Xenopus tropicalis: one gene and its partners. The protein of the gene in region 1 purifies or fractionates together with the protein of each later gene. This does not show direct contact. Links are inferred from orthologs where the notes say so. Each region holds a gene or a part of one and is shown in the gene's direction. Other genes may lie near its edges.

What was found. The genes of interacting proteins can lie anywhere in the genome.
Region 2: the proteins of slc22a15.1 (region 1) and vapa purify together in Homo sapiens (co-immunoprecipitation; 3 studies listed by BioGRID and IntAct, with this or other methods). This does not show direct contact. The link is inferred for Xenopus tropicalis from reciprocal best matches to the Homo sapiens genes SLC22A15 and VAPA.
Region 3: the proteins of slc22a15.1 (region 1) and vapb purify together in Homo sapiens (co-immunoprecipitation; 3 studies listed by BioGRID and IntAct, with this or other methods). This does not show direct contact. The link is inferred for Xenopus tropicalis from reciprocal best matches to the Homo sapiens genes SLC22A15 and VAPB.

The regions. Positions count from the first base shown.
Region 1 is NC_030678.2:1,131,610-1,137,466, reverse strand, and holds the start of slc22a15.1 (solute carrier family 22 member 15 precursor), read left to right. Parts: upstream 1-1,915; 5' UTR 1,916-1,960; coding exon of another isoform or gene 1,961-2,028; coding exon 2,029-2,079; intron 2,080-3,206; coding exon 3,207-3,389; intron 3,390-3,517; coding exon 3,518-3,650; intron 3,651-3,780; coding exon 3,781-3,945; intron 3,946-4,690; coding exon 4,691-4,820; intron 4,821-4,904; coding exon 4,905-5,117; intron 5,118-5,857. UniProt on the Homo sapiens protein: Organic zwitterion/cation transporter with apparent specificity for amino acids and their derivatives. Has low affinity for its substrates and may regulate their flux across the plasma membrane at high substrate concentrations.
Region 2 is NC_030682.2:104,672,669-104,678,739, forward strand, and holds the start of vapa (vesicle-associated membrane protein-associated protein A), read left to right. Parts: upstream 1-2,478; 5' UTR 2,479-2,772; coding exon 2,773-2,830; intron 2,831-6,071. UniProt on the Homo sapiens protein: Endoplasmic reticulum (ER)-anchored protein that mediates the formation of contact sites between the ER and endosomes via interaction with FFAT motif-containing proteins such as STARD3 or WDR44.
Region 3 is NC_030686.2:2,709,194-2,715,310, forward strand, and holds the start of vapb (vesicle-associated membrane protein-associated protein B/C), read left to right. Parts: upstream 1-2,524; 5' UTR 2,525-2,623; coding exon 2,624-2,681; intron 2,682-6,117. UniProt on the Homo sapiens protein: Endoplasmic reticulum (ER)-anchored protein that mediates the formation of contact sites between the ER and endosomes via interaction with FFAT motif-containing proteins such as STARD3 or WDR44.

The DNA.
Region 1 (5,857 bases):
GACCCCGGCAGCCAAACCCTATTGCTCTGTGAGGCTCCAGTTTTATTGTGTTGGGGGGGGAAACCTCCAGACTGGGCTTCCACATGGGGGTCAGTGACCCCGGCAGCCAAACCCTATTGCTCTGTGAGGCTCCAGTTTTATTGTGTTGGGGGGTAAACCTCCAGACTGGGCTTCCACATGGGGGTCAGTGACCCCGGCAGCCAAACCCTATTGCTCTGTGAGGCTCCAGTTTTATTGTGTTGGGGGGTAAACCTCCAGACTGGGCTTCCACATGGGGGTCAGTGACCCCGGCAGCCAAACCCTATTGCTCTGTGAGGCTCCAGTTTTATTGTGTTGGGGGGGAAACCCCCAGAATGGGCTTCCACATGGGGGTCACTGACCCCGGCAGCCAAACCCTATTGCTCTGAGGCTCCAGTTTTATTGTGTTGGGGGGGAAACCCCCAGACTGGGCTTCCACATGGGGGTCAGTGACCCCGGCAGCCAAACCCTATTGCTCTGAGGCTCCAGTTTTATTGTGTTGGGGGGGAAACCCCCAGACTGGGCTTCCACATGGGGGTCAGTGACCCCGGCAGCCAAACCCTATTGCTCTGAGGCTCCAGTTTTATTGTGTTGGGGGGGAAACCCCCAGACTGGGCTTCCACATGGGGGTCAGTGACCCCGGCAGCCAAACCCTATTGCTCTGAGGCTCCAGTTTTATTGTGTTGGGGGGGAAACCCCCAGACTGGGCTTCCACATGGGGGTCACTGACCCCGGCAGCCAAACCCTATTGCTCTGTGAGGCTCCAGTTTTATTGTTACTTTTTATTCCTTATCTTTCTATTAATGTCCTCTCCTATCAATTTTTCAGTCTCTCATTCAAATTACTCCCTGGTTGCTAAGATAATTTGGCCCCAGCAACCAGATAGCTGCTGAAACTCCAAACTGCAGAGCTGCTGAACAAAAAGTGATATCATTAAAAAACTACACATAATAAAAAAATTAAGACCAAGTGCCCGCCCTCCCATGCACCCCGCCCACTCACGCCCCATGCGTCCCGCCCACTCACGGGTTAATAACTACATTGGGATATGAAGTAGTAGAGAAGGGGTTTGTACGATGAGAGGGAAGGGTTACTATACTGAGGGGAGTATATAGTAGGAGGGAAGGCGTTACTGTAGCCATGGGGAGCAATTGAGGTGGGGCACCGGGTAGATTTACTTGACTCAGCCGGCAAACCATAGTCTTGCGGTTCAAGCCTCTCTTTCGCGATCGATGTAAATTCCTACGCTCTCTTTTTCCCGCCCACATCCTTGGCCACGCCCCGTAGCTCGGTTTGCACAAATCAAAAACGTATACAAAGAAAGTAACAAAGACACGCCCCCTGTGGGCGGGGCTGTACCTGCCAGGAAGATACGGGGGAGGTAAGTACCGGCTGGGGGTGTAGGTAGTGGAACAGCGCGGAGGAACTAGCGGTTAGTAGGTGTGGGGGGGAGGGGAATGTACCTACCCCCATACCCCGAGCCGAGGGGTAAGTACGTTCCTATAGCGCTACAGGCTGGAGGGGCAGATATTATGATGAGTTATAGGAGTATGGGGTAGGTACATTGGGGGTGGGGCCAAGGGGCGGGGCTGTAGCCAATAAGTGGGCGGGTCTCCGTGTTTGAGTCATTGCTGTTTCCCGGGTTTGTGCCCCTCATATCTGCCCCAAACTGGCCAATCACTAACTCTCTCTCCTGGGGTCTCTCTCTGATTGGCCAGCTCCCAATCACAGGTATGAGTGGCCCCACCTCCTTGCTAGAGTGTCAGCTTTTTGGACAAACACTGCTTCTAGGATTCTGCCCCAGTGGGAGCGGCCCGGGGGTACAGATTGCAGTTGGTCACTGTGCCAGTATTTGGCTCTGTAACCCCTGGGTGGGTCAGTAATGCCCCAGGCGGGGCAAGTTCTGGGCACAGTATAATATGATTGGTCGGTTCCCTTACAGACACCCCATGCTCAGGCCGGCGGGTCCCACAGATGGAGGTGGAGGGGGCACTGAAGCTGGTGGGGGAAATGGGAATCTATCAGATCTACCTCTCCTTCCTATTGGCTGTACTGCTGCAGGTGAGTGGGGGGGGGGTCACATGATGTGGGGCAGGGGGGGGGTCACATGATGTGGGGCAGGGGGGGGGGCTGATTATAAGGGGCAGCTGACTGGGGAGGTAAAAGTTCAGCGCCCCCCCTTGTCTGCACAGTGTATATAGTGGGAATATAGTGTCCCAGAAGGAGCTGATATCGGGGTGGGGCAGAAGCAACTCGCAGCAGGGGGGGGATGGGGCAGAAGGAGTTGATGGGGGGGTGGGGCAGAATGAGCTCATAGCGGGGGGGGGGATGGGGTAGAAGGAGCTGATGGGGGGGAATGGGGCAGAAAGAGCTGTTAGTAGGGGGGAATGGGGTAGAATGAGCTGATAGCGGGGGGGGATGGGGTAGAATGAGCTGATAGTGGGGGGGATGGGGTAGAATGAGCTGATAGCGGGGGGGATGGGGTAGAATGAGCTGATAGTGGGGGGGATGGGGTAGAATGAGCTGATAGTGGGGGGGATGGGGTAGAATGAGCTGATAGCGGGGGGATGGGGTAGAATGAGCTGATAGTGGGGGGGATGGGGTAGAATGAGCTGATAGTGGGGGGGGGATGGGGTAGAATGAGCTGATAGTGGGGGGGGGATGGGGTAGAATGAGCTGATAGTGGGGGGGGGATGGGGTAGAATGAGCTGATAGTGGGGGGATGGGGCAGAAGGAGCTGAGAGCAGGGGGGGGTGGGGCAGAAGGAGCTGATGGGGGGGGCAGAAGGAGCTGATGGGGGGGGCAGAAGGAGCTGATGGGGGGGGCAGAAGGAGCTGATGGGGGGGGGCAGAAGGAGCTGATGGGGGGGGCAGAAGGAGCTGATGGGGGGGGCAGAAGGAGCTGATGGGGGGGGGCAGAAGGAGCTGATGGGGGGGGGCAGAAGGAGCTGATGGGGGGGGGGCAGAAGGAGCTGATGGGGGGGGGGCAGAAGGAGCTGATGGGGGGGGGGGCAGAAGGAGCTGATGGGGGGGGGGCAGAAGGAGCTGATGGGGGGGCAGAAGGAGCTGATGGGGGGGGGCAGAAGGAGCTGATGGGGGGGGGGGCAGAAGGAGCTGATGGGGGGGGGGGGCAGAAGGAGCTGATACCCTGGGAACTGACGTTATTCATACAAACCAATGTGCCCCCAGCTTTACTCTGCCACAGAAGCCATCATTATAACCATACTGGGGGCCACCCCCCCATACCACTGGATGAATGACAGCCTTACAGCCAATGGCAGCCGGGGGAAGCAATATGGGAGCCAATTACCTGCAGAGGGAGAACATGGACATGTGGTCTTTGATGGAAACTTTACCTCCATTGTGTCAGAGGTAGGTACGCCTGTTGGTACCCCCCAGTATACATGGTGTAACCCCCCGCCCCCCCCCAGCAAGGTTTCCTGCAGTTTGGGGGACCCGCCTCTCACTCTCCTGCCTTCCCATTGCACTGGGTCTCCCAGTGGTTCCTAGTGGGAGGGGCCGCGTACGAGGTCAGTGTGTCCAGCTCGGTGTATTTCGGAGGAGTTCTCATCGGGGTGATCAGCTTTGGGCAACTGTCGGACCGGTTTGGTAGGAAGCCGGTGTATGTGACGGGTAAGGGGCAAGTGGGCATCTTTATAGGGAGACGCAGGCGCCAGGGACTGGGGTGGCACTTGGCACTCTGGGGGGTGTGGCTTGGCTGGCAGTGAGAGGCTATTGGCCGGTTTGTCTCTTGTTCCCGCAGGTTTGGCCCTGGAGGTGGTATTTGCCGTGATGAACGCACTGACCCCCATATTCCCGCTGTTCCTGCTGACGCGGTTTCTCGTAGGAGTCATGAATGGCGGCATGTCGCTCGTGGCCTTTGTCCTGCTCAATGAATGTATTGGTGCCTCCTACTGGGCAGCTGCGGGTACTGCACCTTCTTCTCTAAATCCTCCCATGGCTCCTCCCAGGCCATTACCCTGTCCTGTTATTCGCTGCACCCCCTCAAAGTTTTTATATTACCCCTAGGGGCAATTGTACACAATAAGATTTGTTGCCTGTGGTTAAATCCATGTTACCAGATCTCCCAAAAATGCATTCAGCCCCATAAAGGGGTGGGTCACCTCTTATGTTTTTAACTTTACTATGTTACAGAATGGCCTATTGTAAGCAACTTTCCAATTGGTCCTCATTATTTATTTTTTATAGTTTTTGAATTATTTGCCTTATTCTTTGCAGCTTTCCAATGGGGGTCACTGACCCCGGCAGCTAAAAACTATTGCTCCGCGATGCTATAGATTTATTGTCACGTTTTATAACTTTTTCTATTCAGGCCCCTCTCCTCTTCATATACCAGCCTCTCGCGTAAACCTCTACCTGGTAGCTAAGGTAATTTGGACCCTAGCAACCAGATAGCTGCTGAACAAAAAGTGGAAAAACTAAAAATAATAAAAAATGAAGACCAATTGCAAGTTGTCTCAGAATATAAGTCTCTACATCAAACTAAAAGTTAACTAAAAGGTGAACAATGCCTTTAACCCTTTGCTGCCTGACACCCCATGTCCCTTCCCAGAGCTGCTGATACTGGAACCCCCACTTCTCAGATACTGGGGTTTGTAGTTCAGCACTTCTGTGCCCCCGTGTCACACTGCCCCCCCTCTTTGTGCTCACAGGCTCGCTGGGTTCCCTCTGCTTTGCTGTGGGCATTGCCCAGTTTGCCCTGATTGGGTACTTTATCCGCTCATGGAGGCTGCTGGCCCTGCTGGTGAATGTGCAAGGAGCGGCCGTGCTGGCGCTTTCCCTGTGAGTATCGGTGTGGGAGTGTCAGTGTTGGGGCCACACCCCTTAGTGGGAGGGGAAATAACGGGAATCTCATGTTGGTTACAGCTGTATCCCAGAATCCCCCCGCTGGCTGCACGCTCAGGGGCGCCTCCGCGAGGCACAGGAATCCTTACTCTCTCTGGGGCGCAGGAACCGCAGGAAGGTCACTTCATTCACTCTCTGCCCGCGGCAGAAAGACTCCGCCCACAGCGCCAACATCCTCACCATATACAGCAACGCCATCCTGCGCCAGCGCACACTCATCATGATGTGGGTCTGGTAGGTACCGAATGGGCAACTACCCTTTGCCTCCTATTTACCCCTCTCCTCCCACTAAGCAAGCTTGTTCTGCTCAGGGTGCGGTATCCCAGAATCCCCTTTGTCAGGGTTAGATATCCCAGAATCCCCTTTGTCAGGGTTAGATATCCCAGAATCCCCTTTGTCAGGGTTAGATATCCCAGAATCCCCTTTGTCAGGGTTAGATATCCCAGAATCCCCTTTGTCAGGGTTAGATATCCCAGAATCCCCTTTGTCAGGGTTAGATATCCCAGAATCCCCTTTGTCAGGGTTAGATATCCCAGAATCCCCTTTGTCAGGGTTAGATATCCCAGAATCCCCTTTGTCAGGGTTAGATATCCCAGAATCCCCTTTGTCAGGGTTAGATATCCCAGAATCCCCTTTGTCAGGGTTAGATATCCCAGAATCCCCTTTGTCGGGGTTAGATATCCCAGAATCCCCTTTGTCGGGGTTAGATATCCCAGAATCCCCTTTGTCGGGGTTAGATATCCCAGAATCCTCTTTGTCGGGGTTAGATATCCCAGAATCCCCTTTGTCGGGGTGAGGTATCCCAGAATCCCCTTTGTCAGGGTTAGATATCCCAGAATCCCCTTTGTCAGGGTGAGGTATCCCAGAATCCCCTTTGTCAGGGTTAGATATCCCAGAATCCCCTTTGTCAGGGTTAGATATCCCAGAATCCCCTTTGTCAGGGTGAGGTATCCCAGAATCCTCTGCTGCAGCCT
Region 2 (6,071 bases), on another chromosome or scaffold:
AGTAAGACAAGTTTATTTTGTTCAACTAACATGATAGGAAAGGATTTAACAAGCAGATTTGGTTCGAATGAAAACTAATGATCTGGCTTAATTTGGATCCTGCAGAAATCTTGAACCATATCCTGGATTCGGTGATTCCTTTAAAATAATACAGTGAAAGCAATGAGAAATGGAATAGCATCACTAGCAAATAATAAAGTGAGAGGATTAGAAATTGCAGTTCAGCACAATATATTGTAAACAAAATGGGTAATGGCATCACTATAATTTATGACAGTGGCAGTGGTTCCTGTAAAAGCAATATATAGGCTGATTTGTTTCTCACCCTAAAGGTGGCCATACACGTTCTACCCCTATCTGACGATTCAGCCCCAAACTCTTGCCTTTGCTTGGGTGCCTTCAATGGTGCCTGATCAAAATTTTCTGTCCTGCCTGATCGACAAGACCAATATACAAGGCTTTTGCGATATTGGTTAACTCATCAATCCACTATACACGCAGCAAATATTGTACAAAACCTTGTTTTGCATGATAATGTTGGTGCTTGTATGGTAACCTTTAATCTTCTTCAGTTAGAGCAACAAAACCTCCAAAAATACCATATTTTGAAGTCTATCCAAATCTCTGCCAGTAATACATATCAGTCTTGTAAATGCATGCAATTGCCTTCTGCATTCTCACATGATTATGTGATGTAAATGTTTTTCCAGCAAAGATTCAGACTAACTTTAATACAAAGGCATTTTCAGATACTGATTATTCTTTAGTGCTGGACATAAAATGTCATGCATGCTATCAGTGTGCAAGAAGAACACTGAACCACTGTCAAACCACTTATATTGTAAGTTCTGTAGGGCAGGGATCTCCTTCCTCTTGTCTCTGACAATATTTAATGTAACTGTACTTTGTATCTATGTGTATTTATTATTGCAATGACCCCTTCTTAATTAATTTATTCATTTATTATTCTACTGTACTGTTTTACACTGGAGCTGTCCTTTGCTCTTCCGCTTATGCATGCTTTAAAATACAAAACCTGCAGCTTTGGCATTTTCTAACTTCCTGCAACTTAATGGTTCATCTTTTATTATCAAAGTGTAAATCCCTGTGCAGCCACATAGGTATTGGATAGGCTTTATACCTCCCTTCAGCCTGTCCAATCCCCAAGTGGCTGTACTGAAACTTACACTGTGACCTAATGAGCTGTTAAAAATGAGAAGTTAATAAAATCATGTCTTCCCCAAATGCCACCTGTCACTCCATAATCATCCATTGTTATATATAAACCCTTTACTCTTAGCTGTTAGTAGCTAGTGTGTTATATTATTAATCATAGTGAATTGTTATAAAAAGTTAAATAGAACTCTATGATTTCTATTAGGTTGTACCCCCTGCCTAATGCAGGCTGGGTGCATTAGGGTCACAACATGCCACATACTTTGGTAAATGTAAGAATACTGGGCATCAAGCTGTTCCAAAGATGAAAATAGTAAAATGGAAATAGCAACATGGTTTTACTCTAAAGTGGACAAAACCATAACATGTTGACGGGCGATGTAAAAGTTGTAGGGATGTACCAAATCCAGTATTTTGCCAAGATTTGGCCTTTTTCAGCAGGATTTGGATTTGGGCAGATTTATGCCTCTGACCGAAGCGAATCCGATTCCTTAAAATCACGTGACATTTTGTCACATAAACATGGAAGTTGAAGTTTTTTTTACTCTGCACTTTATCCCCTCCTCGTCCTAAAATTAGGATTCAGATTCAGTTCGGTACTTGGACGAATCTTTCACAAAATTGTTCAGGGTTTGGACGGATCCTAAAATAGTGGATTTGGGCGATCCCTTAAAAAGTGCTTGCGGCTTGTAATTGTGGGCAGGGCCTATTTTTGCCACAACAAATCAAAAGCATTTTTTACCAGAATTTATGCACATAATATGAATACATACATCTTTTTTTTCTATATTTTTACTGGAACTTTAACAATTTTTCCCAAACTGAAAAATTCAGTCTATTGCCATATGCAATATAATGGAACCTATGCAGTGGAATAGTTCAATAAACATGCAAGAGCAAGTTGCTTTACAGAGTGGTCTCACGTCGTTCCTGTGGGAATACTACAGCGCGACGCCTATAGGCTGCGTTTATAAAACTGGCATAAAGGGAAGCAATTGACAAACACCTCGTTCATTCTAAATAAGCATTAACTTGTATTGGTTTCAAATTCCCTAACATTTCCTTCACATTTGTTGCAGCATAACCGCTATCCCTTCCGCGGTGCTCAGCTGTAAAACGCCGTACTGTTTTTGAAGCACTAATGTGGAAGTGTGTGACGGGACGAATCCCGAGTGGGCGTTACCCAGGACACACGCTTGTTACGCGCATGTGCGTGCTGACGTCACCCAGTCCGTGTTCCTCCCGGCCGTGACGCGCTTGGGGCATTACGCGGTTGCCGCACTGTACTGTGTGTTGAGTCAGCGGTGACAAGGAGCGCAAGGGGGGAGGCGGAGGAGGAAAGAGCCGATACTGAACTGACCATAGTAACCCGAGCCTCGGAGCCCACACCGCTAGGCTGTGCCAGCTTTGGCCCGTTCTCCCCGCTCCAGCCTTGTCTTCCAGCGCTCGCTGCCTCTTTAAGTCACCCAGCTGCCTACCTGCTGGGCCTTCATTTGACATCTCATATTCGGCCACGTAACACAAGCGGCCTCCTCTTATTTTGCGTGTTGTGGGCCAGCCGAGCGGTGAATGGCGGTAGTTACACCCGGGGTCACCATGTCCAAACACGAACAAATCCTTATTCTTGACCCGCCCAACGAGCTGAAATTCAAAGGTAACGGGACGTATCTGGTTATGTGGTTCCGGGATGTGAGGCCACAATGCCCCGCTTTCCAGTTGTGTCTTGCGGGGAAAAGGCCTCTGATGGATGGAGAGAGTGTGGAGATTGCTGTTGCCTCTGTTGTGGTGAATCGGGGTGGCTAATCTCTGTCACATTGGTACTGGCAGCTGCACTCCTATCCACCACTGGAGGGCTGCAGCTTGGCCCTTTAGTCTATGGCACTGAGACAGCCAGTGCTAGCTGCTTACAGTGTGCTTTGTTTTACTTCTAATACTAACAGTGACAGCCTGAATAACACGTGATTGTACAATACCAGCAGATTTCACAATGCTGTACAGTAGAAGGGTGTATACATCAAACATACATTACATGAAATGTTTTAGTAAGTGTTAATTGGCCCATGATTCCCACTCTTGCAGCTCTAAAGCAATAAGTAAATATTATTTGACTTGTGGTGTTCAGGTGTGATTGGGCATTACATTGTAAAATACACTGGGGCAGGGATTTATGTGAATCATATATAATCAATGTAAAATGATGTGGTGTTCGTTGTTGCTATATAAATACAGGGTTGTGTGTGTGCTCAGAGCAGTCATGTCAGTAGCCATAGATTGCTTGGGCAGCTGTACAGAAAACTTGTTTAATGTTCAGGATTTAATTTAAGTATTGTTAGATTCACATAAGATGAAAGTGTGCACAGGCAGACTGTTGTTCCTGACAAGGCAATTAGTATAGTTGGCCATACATGGGCAGGTTTAAACTGCTGATTTGGTCCCTTCAGAACATTTTATCTGCCCATGTATGGGTCCTCCTGTCAGATTGCCCAGGTATCTATCAGGCAGGAGTAAATGCCTATTGGGGCATGGGTTACATTGCCTCATTTATGCAGTCCTCTCCTGGCCGCCTGTATCATTAGCCCGAAGATCAGTCCAGTATGGCCCAGCATATAATTGGCTTGTAAAGCGAAGTACCACACCAGCGCCTGCACATATTGGTAGCCTTCTTGGGAACTAAATGAACTCTCTGAAAACTGGCATTAAACAAGCACATAGGTGCCCATATTGGGCACAGAGCTGCTCATTTGGCAACCTGGACAAATGAGTGAATCTTCTTGTGTATAGCCACCTGAATACTGTGATAGGAAATATAAGGTGGGTGAGATCTTACAATTTCAGATCAATAATACAAGTGAAAGGATGAACTCTAAGCAGGTTTCAAGGACAACATTTATTTTTGGCCACCAGGTCTCTCTGTTTTAGCCTTAGGTATCCAGGTGTTGTGGGGTGTCAACTCCTTTAATTTCTTAACATATAATCCAAAATCCAATTAAAAGCATACTGAGAAAATAGGTTTCAGGCCACAAAACTGTTTTTAAACTGACTCAAACCACACAGATTTGCTGTCCCTATAGTGTGTTTGTGTGGTGGTGTTTTTTTTTTTTTTTTTTTTTTGGTAATCCTGAGGGAACTTTGGACTCTTACCAGTACAGTATTTCTCTGTTGCAGGAATGTCCCAGAATCCATTGGTTCTTTTTTTTATTTCTCCTACGCCTCACCTGCTTTTTATAAGCAATTTCACAATTTCTCTGCCCATTTGAAACATAATTGCCTACATTAAAGTTAAGATTACAGAAGGTTACAGGTGTTTTAAACATTACTGTTATTGCCATTTTTAAATCTCCTTTACAAACATTGTAATGTAAAATTCTGTCACTACAGGATCTGCTCCTACGAATGGGGAGCAAGGAGTTGAGGTATGTCAGGTTTACAGGTTTTAAGTAAAGATATGCTTTGGATCAAATTTTTAGTTTGGTCAGACCATCAGTGATCCAAAGGATTGCAGAAACATCCTAGGTGACATTTAGGTGCAGGCAGAAAAAAAAACACCCAATCTGGTCATAAATGTCCAATTTAATTCTATAAACTAAGCCAAAAACCTGTGCTTCTCTATTTTCTTTGTTTTCTTATTTTGCACTTCACAAACATGTACCAAGGAAGTAGCAGTCCTTATTGTCATAAAAAAAAAAAAAATCTAAACAATTTATTTTTTAATTTTTATTATTCACCTTTCATGAGAAACTCCACTACAGAGCTATACTAATGGCATCATGTGGGAGCACAAAATTGCACTGCAAGGCTCAGAAGGTTTGTCTGAGACTTGCAGGGATCTGGGCAAATCCTGAATGGACTACTGAGTTTAATGTATTCTTAATCTAATGGAGCAGGTATTCATCTGACAGACACTGGGGAAACAACTTTTGTCTGTGGTCACCCAGTAACACAATAAGAAATGTAGTAGTAAGGCATTTGTCATAAGCCCAGTTATGAGTTTAGTTTTCAGGTATTACTGGATTTTGTTTCAGCATGGGGATGTCAAAGCTTTATATGCAGGTATTTGCGCTTTTATTCCAATACCTGTTATCCAGAAAGCTCTAAGTTAGGGAAGACCATCTCCCATAAAGTCTATTTTAATCAAATATTTTTTAAACGAATTTCCTTATTCTCTGTAGTAATAGGACAATGCTGTGTTCTTGATATCTTAGAAATAAAAAGATATTTTTTTTTTATTGCAAGGTCATTGTGACTTAAAAAAATGGAATTCCCCGCCGCAGCTGTGGTTTGCAAAAGCAGTACTGCCGAGTACTGTTGGGGACTACACCATGTGCCTATTCCTCATGCAGGCAGCCATGTTGGGGCACATGTATGTACAGACTGTCCTAGGTCTGGGACACTTGTTTTCTAAGGGTATGTTCACCATCCCAATTCAGGTTTAGACATATGCACATGCACATATTGAATATATTTACTCTTGTAAATATCCTAATTTGCTCCCTGGTGGGTGCCTAACATATAGGCTACCTCAGTGTTAGTAGCTTTCCTTGTGCTTTTTTTTTTTTTTTTTCTTTTTATGGTTTTTTGGTGTAACATTTTTCTCTGTTGCACACAACCCAAGCATGTTAACAGTTTGGAGTCTCATCCAACTAGGTTTCCATCTTGAGTGAGCAACTGTGGCGTGACTATACAGTGGCCCCAGACAATGTTGGTTATCCTAAGTGGATGCATTAACTGGGTGATTGGTTATAAGTGTCTTCATTTCCATGACTAATATAGGGTATCATTGGTTTCAGCAGATTGGTAAAAGGAATAACTCCATAAAGTTCAACCTTTATTCTGGAAATGGTAACCATTGGACTCGTACATTCTTTTGTAAGGATGATTTTGACTGCAGGGTCAAA
Region 3 (6,117 bases), on another chromosome or scaffold:
GGAGAGAGCGTGAGAGAGAGCGGTACGGGCGGCGGTGAGAGAGCGGTACGGGCGGCGGTGAGAGAGCGGTACGGGTGGTGAGAGAGAGCGGTACGGGCGGTGAGAGAGAGCGGTACGGGCGGCGGGAGAGAGCGGTACGGGCGGCGGGAGAGAGCGGTACGGGCGGCGGGAGAGAGCGGTACGGGCGGCGGGAGAGAGCGGTACCGGCGGCGAGAGAGAGCGGTACCGGCGGCGAGAGAGAGCGGTACCGGGCGGCGGGAGAGAGCGGTACCGGCGGCGGGAGAGAGCGGTACGGGCGGCGGGAGAGAGCGGTACCCGGCGGCGGGAGAGAGCGGTACCGGCGGCGGGAGAGAGCGGTACCGGCGGCGGGAGAGAGCGGTACCCGCGGCGGGAGAGAGCGTGAGAGAGAGCGGTACGGGCGGCGGTGAGAGAGCGGTACGGGCGGCGGTGAGAGAGCGGTACGGGCGGTGAGAGAGAGCGGTACGGGCGGTGAGAGAGAGCGGTACGGGCGGTGAGAGAGAGCGGTACGGGCGGTGAGAGAGAGCGGTACGGGCGGTGAGAGAGAGCGGTACGGGCGGTGAGAGAGAGCGGTACGGGCGGTGAGAGAGAGCGGTACCGGCGGTGGGAGAGAGCGGTACGGGCGGTGAGAGAGAGCGGTACCGGCGGTGGGAGAGAGCGGTACCCGGCGGTGGGAGAGAGCGGTACCGGCGGTGAGAGAGAGCGGTACGGGCGGTGAGAGAGAGCGGTACGGGCGGTGAGAGAGAGCGGTACGGGCGGTGAGAGAGAGCGGTACGGGCGGTGGGAGAGAGCGGTACGGGCGGTGAGAGAGAGCGGTACGGGCGGTGGGAGAGAGCGGTACGGGCGGTGAGAGAGAGCGGTACGGGCGGCGGGAGAGAGCGGTACCCGGCGGCGGGAGAGAGCGGTACCGGCGGCGGGAGAGAGCGGTACGGGCGGTGGGAGAGAGAGCGGTACCGGCGGCGGGAGAGAGCGTGAGAGAGAGCGGTACGGGCGGCGGTGAGAGAGCGGTACGGGCGGCGGTGAGAGAGCGGTACGGGCGGCGGTGAGAGAGCGGTACGGGCGGTGAGAGAGAGCGGTACGGGCGGTGAGAGAGAGCGGTACGGGCGGTGAGAGAGAGCGGTACGGGCGGTGAGAGAGAGCGGTACCCGGCGGTGGGAGAGAGCGGTACCGGCGGTGGGAGAGAGCGGTACCCGGCGGCGGGAGAGAGCGGTACCGGCGGCGGGAGAGAGCGGTACGGGCGGTGGGAGAGAGAGCGGTACCGGCGGCGGGAGAGAGCGTGAGAGAGAGCGGTACGGGCGGCGGTGAGAGAGCGGTACGGGCGGCGGTGAGAGAGCGGTACGGGTGGTGAGAGAGAGCGGTACGGGCGGTGAGAGAGAGCGGTACGGGCGGTGAGAGAGAGCGGTACGGGCGGTGAGAGAGAGCGGTACGGGCGGTGAGAGAGAGCGGTACGGGCGGTGAGAGAGAGCGGTACGGGCGGTGAGAGAGAGCGGTACGGGCGGTGAGAGAGAGCGGTACCGGCGGTGGGAGAGAGCGGTACCGGCGGTGGGAGAGAGCGGTACCGGCGGTGAGAGAGAGCGGTACCGGCGGTGGGAGAGAGCGGTACCGGCGGTGGGAGAGAGCGGTACGGGCGGTGAGAGAGAGCGGTACCGGCGGCGGGAGAGAGCGGTACCGGCGGTGGGAGAGAGCGGTACGGGCGGTGAGAGAGAGCGGTACCGGAGGTGGGAGAGAGCGGTACCGGCGGTGGGAGAGAGCGGTACCGGCGGTGAGAGAGAGCGGTACCGGCGGTGGGAGAGAGCGGTACCGGCGGTGGGAGAGAGCGGTACCGGCGGCGGGAGAGAGCGGTACCGGCGGCGGGAGAGAGCGGTACCGGCGGCGGGAGAGAGCGGTACCGGCGGTGGGAGAGAGCGGTACCGGCGGCGGGAGAGAGCGGTACGGGCGGCGGGAGAGAGCGGTACCGGTGGGAGAGAGAGCGGTACCGGCGGTGAGAGAGAGCGGTACCGGTGGGAGAGAGAGCGGTACCGGCGGCGGGAGAGAGCGGTACCGGCGGTGGGAGAGAGCGGTACCGGCGGCGGGAGAGAGCGGTACGGGCGGCGGGAGAGAGCGGTACCGGTGGGAGAGAGAGCGGTACCGGCGGTGAGAGAGAGCGGTACCGGTGGGAGAGAGAGCGGTACCGGCGGCGGGAGAGAGCGGTACGGGCGGCGGGAGAGAGCGGTACCGGCGGCGGGAGAGAGCGGTACCGGCGGCGGGAGAGAGCGGTACCGGCAGGAGGGGCGGGACAACCCGGTACCAATAAGGGGAGATCCCGCGGGTTTATATTCCCGGATATCTATGTGACATTACACAGGGCGGATACGGGGTCCCGCACATACGCTGCCAGCGCTAACTTGCCCCTCCCCCCCAGGCGCCGCCATGTTGGCCCTTGAGCCCCAGTGCGCAGCCGCGGCCCCGCCCCCAGCCCTTGCGCCTGCGCGCCGCTCACCCCCGGGCCTTGCAGGGGCCGTGACGTCACAGCAGCCTCCGCCCTCCGCCGCTTTGCTGCATCACCCGCTCCTGCAGCCGCCACCGCCGCCGGGACAGGCCCGGACCCCCAGCCCACACGGGAGACATGGCCAAGGTGGAGCAGATCCTTCAGCTGGAGCCCCAGCATGAGCTCAAGTTCCGAGGTACCGGGGGCTCTGGGGCACTCACATTAATCCTGCAATGTACGGCTTGGGGGTACTGCTGGGATACAATCCTCTAATGTACGGCTTGGGGGTACTGCTGGGATACAATCCTCTAATGTACGGCTTGGGGGTACTGCTGGGCTACATGGGTTATAATCCTGTAATGTATGGGTTGGGGGTACTGCTGGGCTACAATCCTGTAATGTAGGGGTTGGGGGTACTGCTGGGATACAATCCTGTAATGTAGGGGTTGGGGGTACTACTGGGCTACATGGGTTATAATCCTGTAATGTATGGGTTGGGGGTACTGCTGGGCTACAATCCTGTAATGTAGGGGTTGGGGGTACTGCTGGGCTACAATCCTCTAATGTACGGCTTGGGGGTACTGCTGGGATACAATCCTCTAATGTACGGCTTGGGGGTACTGCTGGGATACAATCCTCTAATGTAGGGGTTGGGGGTACTGCTGGGCTACATGGGTTATAATCCTGTAATGTATGGGTTGGGGGTACTGCTGGGCTACAATCCTGTAATGTAGGGGTTGGGGGTACTGCTGGGATACAATCCTGTAATGTAGGGGTTGGGGGTACTACTGGGCTACATGGGTTATAATCCTGTAATGTATGGGTTGGGGGTACTGCTGGGCTACATGGGTTATAATCCTGTAATGTATGGGTTGGGGGTACTGCTGGGCTACAATCCTGTAATGTAGGGGTTGGGGGTACTGCTGGGCTACATGGGTTATAATCCTGTAATGTATGGGTTGGGGGTACTGCTGGGCTACAATCCTGTAATGTAGGGGTTGGGGGTACTGCTGGGCTACATGGGTTATAATCCTGTAATGTATGGGTTGGGGGTACTGCTGGGCTACATGGGTTATAATCCTGGAATGTATGGGTTGGGGGTACTACTGGGCTACATGGGTTATAATCCTGGAATGTAGGGGTTGGGGGTACTACTGGGCTACATGGGTTATAATCCTGGAATGTATGGGTTGGGGGTACTGCTAGGCTACATGGGTTATAATCCTGGAATGTATGGGTTGGGGGTACTACTGGGCTACATGGGTTATAATCCTGGAATGTAGGGGTTGGGGGTACTGCTGGGCTGCATGGGTTATAATCCTGGAATGTATGGGTTGGGGGTACTGCTAGGCTACATGGGTTATAATCCTGGAATGTATGGGTTGGGGGTACTACTGGGCTACATGGGTTATAATCCTGGAATGTAGGGGTTGGGGGTACTACTGGGCTACATGGGTTATAATCCTGGAATGTATGGGTTGGGGGTACTGCTAGGCTACATGGGTTATAATCCTGGAATGTATGGGTTGGGGGTACTACTGGGCTACATGGGTTATAATCCTGGAATGTAGGGGTTGGGGGTACTACTGGGCTACATGGGTTATAATCCTGGAATGTATGGGTTGGGGGTACTGCTGGGCTACATGGGTTATAATCCTGGAATGTATGGGTTGGGGGTACTGCTAGGCTACATGGGTTATAATCCTGGAATGTATGGGTTGGGGGTACTACTGGGCTACATGGGATATAATCCTGGAATGTACGGCTTGGGGGTACTGCTGGGCTGCATGAGTTGTAATCCTGGAATGGGGGATGCTGGGGTGCAGGGCCAGTGGGGGCCGCTGGGGTGCAGGGCCAGTGGGGGCCGCTGGGGTGCAGGGCCAGTGGGGGCCGCTGGGGGGCAGGGCCAGTGGGGGCCGCTGGAGGGCAGGGCCAGTGGGGGCCGCTGGGGGGCAGGGCCAGTGGGGGCCGCTGGGGGGCAGGGCCAGTGGGGGCCGCTGGGGGGCAGGGCCAGTGGGGGCCGCTGGGGGGCAGGGCCAGTGGGGGCCGCTGGGGGGCAGGGCCAGTGGGGGCCGCTGGGGGGCAGGGCCAGTGGGGGGTGCAGGGCCAGTGGGGGGCGCTGGGGTGCAGGGCCAGTGGGGGGCGCTGGGGTGCAGGGCCAGTGGGGGACGCTGGATTACAGGGCCAGTGGGGGACGCTGGGGTGCAGGGCCAGTGGGGGACGCTGGGGGGCAGGGCCAGTGGGGGGCGCTGGGGGGCAGGGCCAGTGGGGGACGCTGGGGTGCAGGGCCAGTGGGGGGCGCTGGGGTACATCCCATTTCAGAACCTGCCTGAGGGAGGTCTTGTAACCATGAGTGCAAGGGGTTGCTGGGATACAGGGCTGAAGGTAGGGGGTCCCTATTATAACTGTCAGTTTGGTATGTGGGTAAAGGGCAGAGAGCTCCCTGATAACAAAGAGGAGTAGTGCCCCCTAATTATATGGGGGTTCCCTGGGGCCCTGCTGTGCTCCCCAGTCCTGATCCATTTATGCCCCCGTAGTGCCAGTAGGGTGCAGGGTGCACAGCCCCGATGCTGTATCCAATATACAGGGGGTATATATAGGGTGTAATGGGGCGCATATACTGGGGGCAGTGATACATAAAGTCCTGTCTGTGCCCCCCTCCCATTGGCTGCATTCCTTCTGACTGCTGATTGGGCAGTGTTGGCACAGTGTGTGTGGGTAGGGGACCCTGCGCCCACTCTGTGCGTTAGTGACACTGGGGGCTCGGGGTGGGGTGGGGGGGGTATTCGGTACTTTGTAACGGTGAGGAAACCACCAAGGGAGGCCGGACAATTGTAGGAAGCCCTGGGGGGGCTGAAGGGTGAGTCCGACCCATGGGTGTGGGGGCCACTCCCCGACCTTTCATCCACTGCCATTTTTGGCTCCTTATTAATTAATTAATTTATTGGGAAACATGGGGCTTTCAGGCGGGATTGTTGGGTCAGGGCTCTGTCTCTGTTATTATTATTATTATTATTATTATTATTAACATTGATGTATAAAGCGCCAACATATCCCGCCGCGCTGCCTTTGCTTGGGGTTGGGGCTTTTTGCGGGTTCCCTGCGGAGCTGGTGCCCCCCCCCCCCCGTGCCCCATCCCATCTCTGTACATGGGGGGCACACACAGTGTCGGATGTCCCACAATGCCCCACCTGTTCTACACATTATCCTGCTCCATTCATTCCCAGCCAGCCCGGCCCCCAGCACCTCCATATTTATAGAACACCCCCTGCCCTGTGCATTATGGGTCGGGGATACAGGCCTGACGGGGAAACAGCCGACCCGACAGAACCAGCAGCACATGTTGTGCATAACCCGCTCTCCGGCGCCGGGGTCATTGCACCTGGGTACATATTAATACCCACAATAAGCCCCCCTGTATGGGTTTCCCTTGGTGTTGCCCCCAGCAGAGCAGAGATCCCGGGGTGTTGGGCAGTGAATCATCTCTCCCGTAGGGGAGGGCCCGGTTACACCAGCACTATATTTAGTTGGCATGTTGGCCGGCCCTGTTCCTCGGGATTATCTGCCCTGGGACAGCTCCGCACTATATTTATATCTATAGATTTATATTAGGGACGCACTGAGCCCAGGGT